Linked DNA regions of Daphnia pulex. The protein of the gene in region 2 purifies or fractionates together with the protein of the main gene of each other region. This does not show direct contact. Links are inferred from orthologs where the notes say so. Each region holds a gene or a part of one and is shown on either strand. Other genes may lie near its edges.

Region 1 (4,453 bases), about 1.1 Mb from region 2:
GGTACCCAATTGAAGGAGCTGTAATCTTGGCTCCATTAGATTTCACAAAAAGTTTGTCCCAGACCAGAATAACAGAAATACTTGGTGGGCAACTTGCTAATGCAGTCCTAAGTGATATGGTAGGGCTGATTTTATTTCAGTTTTTTTTTACCTTAAATTATTTCAATTAATATTTGCTAATTAAATTTAGGCTCCTGCAGCATCGGGTATACGAGATTTGGATCAAGATAGGATATTAGAATTAGCATATTCAGTGCTGCGTTACGCGCAACAAATCTCTATGGACGGAGCTACGCTATTGATAAAATTATGGGCAGGAGGAAGAATCAAACAACTGGAGAATGAGATTGCATTACACTATTCTCAAGTCAAAGTTGTGAAACCACCTAGTAGTAGACAGGATTCAGCTGAAATGTTTATACTAGCTAGTAATTTCAAGAAAAATACATAGTAATTATTTAACTACTTACTTTGCTTTATTCACATTGAAGTCTACTGAAATTTTGCTTCATCCATGTATTCAATTCACCTTAGTTACATCACTGACTCTAAGCACACTTTTAACAGTTTGATTGGCCGGTGACAATTTTTAAATTTAGTGTGGCAAATTGCAAATCTCACACGAAGATAAATTAGGCATATTGATGAAAGTGCAGTGAAGACAGGTCCAGGATTTGCCAGCGGCATCTCCGGTAGCACCTTCTTCCATCGGTTGCCCTGGTGTCGACATTTGATCAGCGTGAGCCAGGAGCTGACGGACAGTGCTCCATTGTTCACCAGATGCCCATTGATTTGCAGCCTCCGCATTTTTCGAACGAACAGCTTCTAATATTGGATCCATACTTTCCTGTTGGTTTTGTAAAATGAATAAGTAAAACAAAATCAAAATAATAGCAATACAAAAAACTTGCCATGAGCGGAAGCATATCCATTGTAGCGACGTATATCAGAAAATGGAAATCTGACGCGGCTTCGAGAAAATTCTGACGATTTTGTTTCAAGTAAGAATCCAAAGCTGACAAATCTTGAAGATGACCATCGATAAGACTAGAAAATTTTAAAAGTTTTGAATTGAAGAACAATATAGTTTTAATAAATGTTAATACCGATTTTCAATGGGAAACGGTTTACGTGAGCCGACTGAAAAAGTAAATATGGGTTCCAACGGAGTAGAGACGGGAACATCGACCAACAAATATTCAACTGGAAGGGGACGAGCATCTCGAGTCACTTCATTTCCATATGAATCCTTTTCCTGTTATTAAAAAAATTCAAAATCATTTCAGACATTAAAATAAAAATCCGAATTAATGGAAACAAATTTTAATTATAATTTACTTAAACAGATTGCTAAATGTTCATAAATTGTGAGATCCATTTTTTCAAATTGCAACATGATATAATTTTACTTCGATTTATTTTTAAATATTGATCTTTTTTTTTTACACGCATCGCAAATCCCGCGTGTTGGAGAAATGAACGAAAACTGAATTGTTGAAACGGCGACAGCGCATTTGCCACGCTGTCCATACGGAAATATGGTCTAAACCAATCACAGCGAAGCCAGTAAGCCAAGGCAGACTAAAAACAAGGCCTGCCCACTAAGGGCACTCATTTCGTGAAGGATTTTACAACAATTTGGCTAATATGATTTAAAATAAACTGATCACAACCCAGACAATTACTCGAGAAGTCAAAGCATATTTTTCCAGTCCTACCCCCAATAAGTTTTCATCAAACTGTCTTACAAATGAGCGACGTTTGCTTTCAAGTTTGCAGCACTACAGTTCCACGTATGTCGAATATTTTAAAGAAGATTTTAATAAAAACACAAATGTTATTGGTTAACTTCATAACAAAAGAAGATTACTCAAGTAGCAGATAAAAGAATATATAGTTAATATAATGATAATATCGTTAAAAATATAATATTATCAATAAGAAATATGTTTGAGCGTGCTGCCGGTAGGGGCGCATGCGACTGCGGGACCGACATCGTGGCCGGTAGAGTGCTCATGAACGTACACCACGTTGTGGCTCTTTTAGTGGAGTGGAGAGAAACTGGCTCGGATCGCCCTTCCCCACAGTTCTCCACACGAGCCGGCTTGATAAGCCACGTGACGCACGTGCAAAAGTAGGCACAAATTCTATCGTTTTTTCCTAATTTCCCTTTAAGCTAGAAAATATCTAACGATTCATAACAGACGGGTGTTAAGCCGAGAAAATATTTTGATCAAAAAGTATACACTTGCTATTCTTAGAGACTGGAATTATTGACAGGAATTCGGCAGCAGACGTATCACGCGGTTGTCCCGCTGTTGCGTGTTGCTGCCATTTTCCTTCCAACCGATATGCCTCCATGCGCCACGCTGCACTAACCAATCTTCTCACTGCTCACGTTTACTAATTCAAGTGCTTTCTTTTGTATTGTTTTAGATACAAAATCTCTTGTAGAGAAATGGAGACTCAGGCAGATTTGACCACGCCTCTCAATGATGCATGCCCGACGTGCAACAACGTACTGGAATTCGACTGGACAAGCGCAGAAAAGATCTGCTTAAACTGCATCCACAATCTCCAATACAAAGATGATTTGATCCTGGATTTAAATGAGATGGCTACTAATTTTTCAATGGTACAGCTGGGGAACTACCAGTCTATACCCACCTCAATGGCTAGCCCCGTCAACTCTTCTCTGCACTCATCACCAGAAGTCTTTCTACCAAAATCTATTGGTGATGCATCAGAATGCCCCTTGCATCACTCCGCCTGCCTCTACTGGTGCTACACATGCATGACTCCTGCATGTCTGATCTGTACCAGTCAGCAACACTCGATGCTGACAGGACACAGGACCGGGCCTTTGAATGAAGCTCAAAGCCTCCTCCTGTCTCAGCTCCAAGTGGAAGTTCAAGCGGTTAAGAAGATTCACAGCGACAACAAACTTTTGACTGGGAGCCACAGAGAATTTCTCTGTTTAGTGATGGAAGCCTGCACTAGCTTGGAAAACCTCATGCGAGAAGAACTGAGCAGTCTCAACAAACAGAGCAGTTCTGCTGTGTCCAATGGCTTGAACGAAGAAGACACTACCCAGTTTCTGCTAAACAAAGTTACTTTTCAACTAGCTGGACTTTCAGGCCCCGACGAGGCAGCTGAAATGCTCAGATCTCTACAATCGGAACGGATTCGCCTTCAGACCAAGCAACAACAACTGGCCATGCAGCTGACTTTGAATCGTGTCATTGGTTCCAGCAACCAAGTACTGGACTTGCATACGTTCCGTCAGGCGGTTCAAAACTTACGATACTCTGGCAATCGTGGTCCGTCTACTATGGAACTGCTGCAGTCTCCACCCACCCAACCCGATCCTGTGGCCCTTTTGGCCAACGTCTGCAACGCTCGGCTGTACACGAAACAACTTTTGGCCAGCTCTCTACTGACTTCGACTTCCCCCAACAAGAGCAACTCGATGGCCAGCGTCCTCTCCCCTAGTTCTCCTCTGCACTCGTCTTTCCCTCGTTTTTTCCTAGATTTGGAAGTCGACGGAATCGTTGAAGGCCGCGTAGTATTGGAAACCCGACCAGATGTGGCGCCCAAGATGGCCAAGAATTTCGCATCGCTTTGCATGGGTGAGAAAGGATTTGGCTACAAGGGATGTCAAGTTTTCCAATGTTGGGGAGGAGAGTCGTGCATCGCCGGTGACTTTGAATGCAATTCCGGGCGTGGGGGACGATCCATCTACGCGGAAGAACCCTTCTTCATGCCCGACGACAGCAAGCTGCCCTGCATTCGAGCGGCGATCGGCATGAGACGAACGCAAAAAAAGCATCACAGCCAAGGGCTAGTGGGATCCCAATTCCGTATTCTACTTCGAGACATGCCCTTCTTCACTGGTGTCTTTGGCCACGTCATCCACGGATTGGAATTGGTGGAACGCGTTTCTTTTCTGGGCGATCATCAAGGCTTCCCTCGCAAACTCATCACCGTGGCCAATTGTGGATTGCTCAGTTAGAAGACAACGTTTCGCGACTTTTCTGTGTTTGCTGCTTTTCTTCTCAAAAAAAAACAACAACAACAACAAAAAAGAAAAAAATGCAAGAGGCATCGGGATGCACCCGAAAGAACCTAATATTTTTCTCCTAACCCTTCGAAAGCAACGAGTTTTTTTTTCACGTAGTGAAATGTAACAACTTGGCTCTACATCTGACCCTTTTCTTTTGACGACCGATACAAATTATTGCATCGCCCAGTTTCAATACTGCCACATGTTGTTTGGTAAATAGCAAGAATTGTTGTTATTTCTTTGTCGTACTTCTTTTTTTTCTGTCGTCGATTTAGTTATTATTACCCTCTTTCTATTTCCGCTACATTTCGTCGCCCCCATTCGTGAAGTTCGGATCAAGCATTTGAAAAATTGTCCCACTTTTTTTTTTCCTCCTCTACCAAACTTTAG
Region 2 (4,001 bases):
CCGTTCTACAGTTCAAGCTTCAGCTGTTCCGTCAGCTCCTACTGTCGTACCAGTACGAGAAGCTCAGCCCTCCAACGGAATTTCAACGGCTTCTCAACCCCCACAGTCGTTTAACGTAGTGAGGGCTCCTCCACCCATCCCAGCCAGGAATCTTCCACCTGTCCCTCCCCGCACGGCAAAATAACAAGTAAGTGGTTGACTGCCTGCGACTCCAGTGAAGATTAACAGTATTCATTCCTGCAAACTCTTCAAAAGTATCAACCGGAAGTTTGTTTGTTTTTCTTTCATGGCAAAAATTTTACTTAATTTAAATGTGTTGCGTGTTTCTTTAAATGTCTGCTTCTAGAAGTGATCAACAAATACTCTACAGCACTGATTTAGAAAAAAAAATTGTTTCAGGCTTATTCCACAATAATTCATATCTACCAGCAGAAACTTATACCCCAGTCACCGTAAACTTATATACTGTATTTTAGACTAATTGAAGGTACGCGTTGATTCAGGTTGTGTCGAATGATCCATTGTGTATCGGAACTAGTCATACTTCTCAACGGACTTCATTAATACCAACAAAACAGAATACATCCGTTGTCGCTGTTTAACACCTAAAGGAATTTTTGTTTATCACTTCGCAAAATAAAAATGCCAAAAAAAAGAACAACCAAATGAAAACAATATGTGACTAATGCAGAATTTTATCTGGAAAAGGGTTCAAATATTTCATGGATGTAGTGAATAATAATAAGCAATCACATGGATTGCATAAGGATCATTAACTCGTCTTTCAAGTAACCAGAAGAGGATGCAACGGCTGGAGTGAAATGAAAAATTGCTGATGGACAGAGTTGAAGATCAAGTAGAGTTGAATCTTGAATGTCCGGTTGGTTAACCACACCAGCCGGAGATACTAAATTGAACTCTATGAAGGGTTCTTCGAGTGCATCGCAAACAAACAAGCGAACGTCTTGCATAGTCTCATTGACTTTGAACGTTCCTTGGAGCACGGGACCATCCGGAAACTTTATGCGGATCAGGGTAAATCGGTATTTTCGTGATGCAGCCTTCTCATCTCGTTCCCTCATAGCCCGAGTACGAAGCATCAAGCCTTTCTCAGCCGCCTCGGTTTTCAATTGTTGTTCTCGTTTGATTTCTTCGGTTGTAAGCCAAAAAAAGTCCGAAGGCAATTCCACCCGTTGGGCAGCTTGCGATGGCATCAAAATTTGTATTCCTCTATCCAAATCTGGCCGAATCGCTTCCGCGCTTATCAAGCCATCACGTAAATTCTGCAATAATAGGCAATCTATAGTTGAACCGTATTCAGGAATAAAATGAAATTTTTACACTAATATATTCGATGTGTTCTGGTTGTGTGTTTAATAAAACCCAGAAGTCCTCCGGCTCCTGCTGAGCATTTTGTATAGACTTTAACTGGAAACCAGCTGCTTGCAAAAATTGTTGTACTCCTTCCAGCCGACCTACTCGTTCTTGGTACACTTTGTTATTTATACGAATTTTATGATACTTTTCCTCAGCTGGGTTCTGTACTATGTTATCCAAATAGCGAAACAATGTTTCAACACATTGCTGAACCTATATCGTCGATTAATCGAGAGAGAAAAAATGTGAAATAGATTTCTTTATTTGAAAATGATAAAAAATAACCTTTTCTTGAGGCTTATTTAATGTGTGTATAACTAGACAAGCAGTAAGTCCTGCTTCCTCATCTTCTAATTGCTGATAAAGAAACTCCTTAATCAATTTTTCAATTTCTTTTTTAGGCAGTACTTCAGGTCCTACAAATAATTGCATTAATTTAATTTACTATCACAGAGGATACACATACTACCTATCAGTGGGCACTTGTAGTAAACTCCACTAACAGCAAGTTCATTTGAGGATGGAAGTTGTTGGGTTTTCTCAGACAGAGTTAACTTTTGAATTGAAGTATCCTGTTTCTCTAGCTCCAATTCCTTTAATGCCTGGGCTCTTATTATTGCAGCTGATCGCTGTTGGGGAGTAGGGTCTTTTTTCTTTTCAAATCTGGCTAATGCAGCAGCTGCAGCTTGTTGTTGTGCTGCACTAGTTGAAGCTTCAGAACGAGCTTGAGTAGGAGCCAAATTTTTGCTTAGTTTTGGTTGTTGAACAGTTTCATTAAGTTTATGTCCTTCTCCTAAAAAATTACAAGTTTTCATTACTCTTTTAACAAACCCATATTAATTATTATGTTATTACCAGCCAATTTAAATTTTGTATCAGCTTTCTTCTTTTCAAAAAACTTTTTAATTTTATCCATTTTGAATCCTACGCCTTACCACCGTGGTGTATGCTCACTTGGTAGCTTTAACTCAGAAACTGCAGTCTTCAGCTGTTCACTTGAAATTTCGTATTGACTTGGCTTCAGAAATCTCTGTGTTATTCTTTCGCTGTAAATTTTCCACGCAACACAAATAGCTAATACATGGACAGTCAGTATGCAAAAGAAAACTTGTAATAATTTAATTTGGAAATCAGAAAAAGCTGAATCATAAAAGTTCACTAATATTTCTGAGAAATCAATCAACTTTAAGAGAATAGATTTAAATAAACTTTCACAGTGCCCTGGTAACACTTCAACAAAGTCAATGACAAAACTGATTAGAAGATAAATTAAGTTAACGGAATATTCGACGAAAACCTCGACCCACAAAGTAGATTGCTGTTCAACCAAAGTTTCTTCATCCACCTATAATATAGGTATTATGCAAATAATTATACATTCTAGCTTGGTCACTAGGTAAAATAATGCATTTAATTTTAATTATTAAGTTGTTTACCATGCTACGAAATTTAGAATTGAATCCTCGATCGATTCTAGTATCATGAAATGACATGTACTCTAATGATAGCCTTTTGTTTACAAAATATGAAAGAACGAACCAGGAACCAACTGCTGTTTAGCAGTTGCGTGTTTTATACGATCAATTTCCACTACAACCCAGGCCAGACCAGGCTAATAATCTTGTGTCCGCATCGTAACACATATTTCATTTTTGACAGGAAATTGCTGTTGGCAACTATAATCCAATAACGGCAATATGTTCTCAATATTTGCATGACAAATTACGTGATACAATATGACAGACGTTTTCTTTTATGACAAAACCCTTGATGGGCCATACGGGGCTACGTGAATTTCATTTTAGAATTACAGTTACTACGTCGTGCCCTTGGGTCATAATATATTGCATAAGTTTTCAGTTTTCAGGTAGGGTTAATAAAAAAAGGTATGCTACCACGCAATTTTATCAAGGTTACCTAAAAACTCAGTTCCCCAGCCCCCTCATTATGATGTTGCCAACTTTTCAATGATAAAACAAATATAACCCATCGATTTTATTTAATCTTTTACTTTAATAAAATTTTTAGGAATGTTAAAACAATTAGTTAAAATATTATTTTAAAATGTTTTAAATTTAATTGATATTGATCGTTCTCTGCGACCTTGAGTCCTTGACCAATCAGACTTCAAGAGGATGGGTTTACCGTTTAAAACCCCATCGGCCCCCTAGCGTCAATGTTCAAATTTCAAACCAGACAGGGTAGACAAATCTTCTCCGACTTTTAAAGAAGTAACGTTAGTTCCAGACTTCTAGTTGACTTTAGTTACAAAGAGACCTTACTCGAATACTTCGCTGCAAATAAGTATAACTTTTATTATCTAATGATTAGTACTGGCTTTCCAAATATTTAAGAAATTGTTGGGTATTTTGATGTAATAGTTCACGTTATAAATGGAGACCAAGCAACCGTTGAGGGACTTGCAAAACGTGACTAAACCTATGACCACTGCTCCCTTAGCAAAACCGGATGTTAAGCTTGAAAATGAAAGATCAAAACCTAAGTATGCTTGTCATTCTTCTCTTGTTAGACCATTAAGATGTGGATCTTAACAGTTGCACATTGGTGTATTCTCCAATCTTTGATAAACACAGGTGGACATTGGAAAATTTTGAGATTGGCCG

Evidence for each region.
Region 1: the proteins of UBX domain-containing protein 6-like (region 2) and nuclear protein localization protein 4 homolog purify together in Homo sapiens (affinity purification with western blotting; 3 studies listed by BioGRID and IntAct, with this or other methods). This does not show direct contact. The link is inferred for Daphnia pulex from reciprocal best matches to the Homo sapiens genes UBXN6 and NPLOC4.

Annotation. Positions count from the first base shown.
Region 1 is NC_060023.1:4,661,907-4,666,359, reverse strand, and holds the end of nuclear protein localization protein 4 homolog, read right to left. Parts: exon of another isoform or gene 4,013-4,453; coding exon of another isoform or gene 2,437-4,012; intron 2,241-2,436; exon of another isoform or gene 2,135-2,240; coding exon of another isoform or gene 1,947-2,134; exon of another isoform or gene 1,932-1,946; intron 1,256-1,931; coding exon 1,107-1,255; intron 1,048-1,106; coding exon 912-1,047; intron 848-911; coding exon 596-847; 3' UTR 502-595; downstream 1-501. Other genes in the region: rRNA methyltransferase 2, mitochondrial-like, read left to right, coding at 2-119, 191-451; uncharacterized protein LOC124198209, read left to right, coding at 1,947-2,134, 2,437-4,012. UniProt on the Homo sapiens protein: The ternary complex containing UFD1, VCP and NPLOC4 binds ubiquitinated proteins and is necessary for the export of misfolded proteins from the ER to the cytoplasm, where they are degraded by the proteasome.
Region 2 is NC_060023.1:5,743,409-5,747,409, reverse strand, and holds UBX domain-containing protein 6-like, read right to left. Parts: upstream 2,727-4,001; 5' UTR 2,294-2,726; coding exon 2,233-2,293; intron 2,171-2,232; coding exon 1,847-2,170; intron 1,794-1,846; coding exon 1,663-1,793; intron 1,591-1,662; coding exon 1,342-1,590; intron 1,284-1,341; coding exon 750-1,283; 3' UTR 505-749; downstream 1-504. Other genes in the region: synaptojanin-1-like, read left to right, coding at 1-184; aurora kinase A-like, read left to right, coding at 3,771-3,880, 3,972-4,001. UniProt on the Homo sapiens protein: May negatively regulate the ATPase activity of VCP, an ATP-driven segregase that associates with different cofactors to control a wide variety of cellular processes.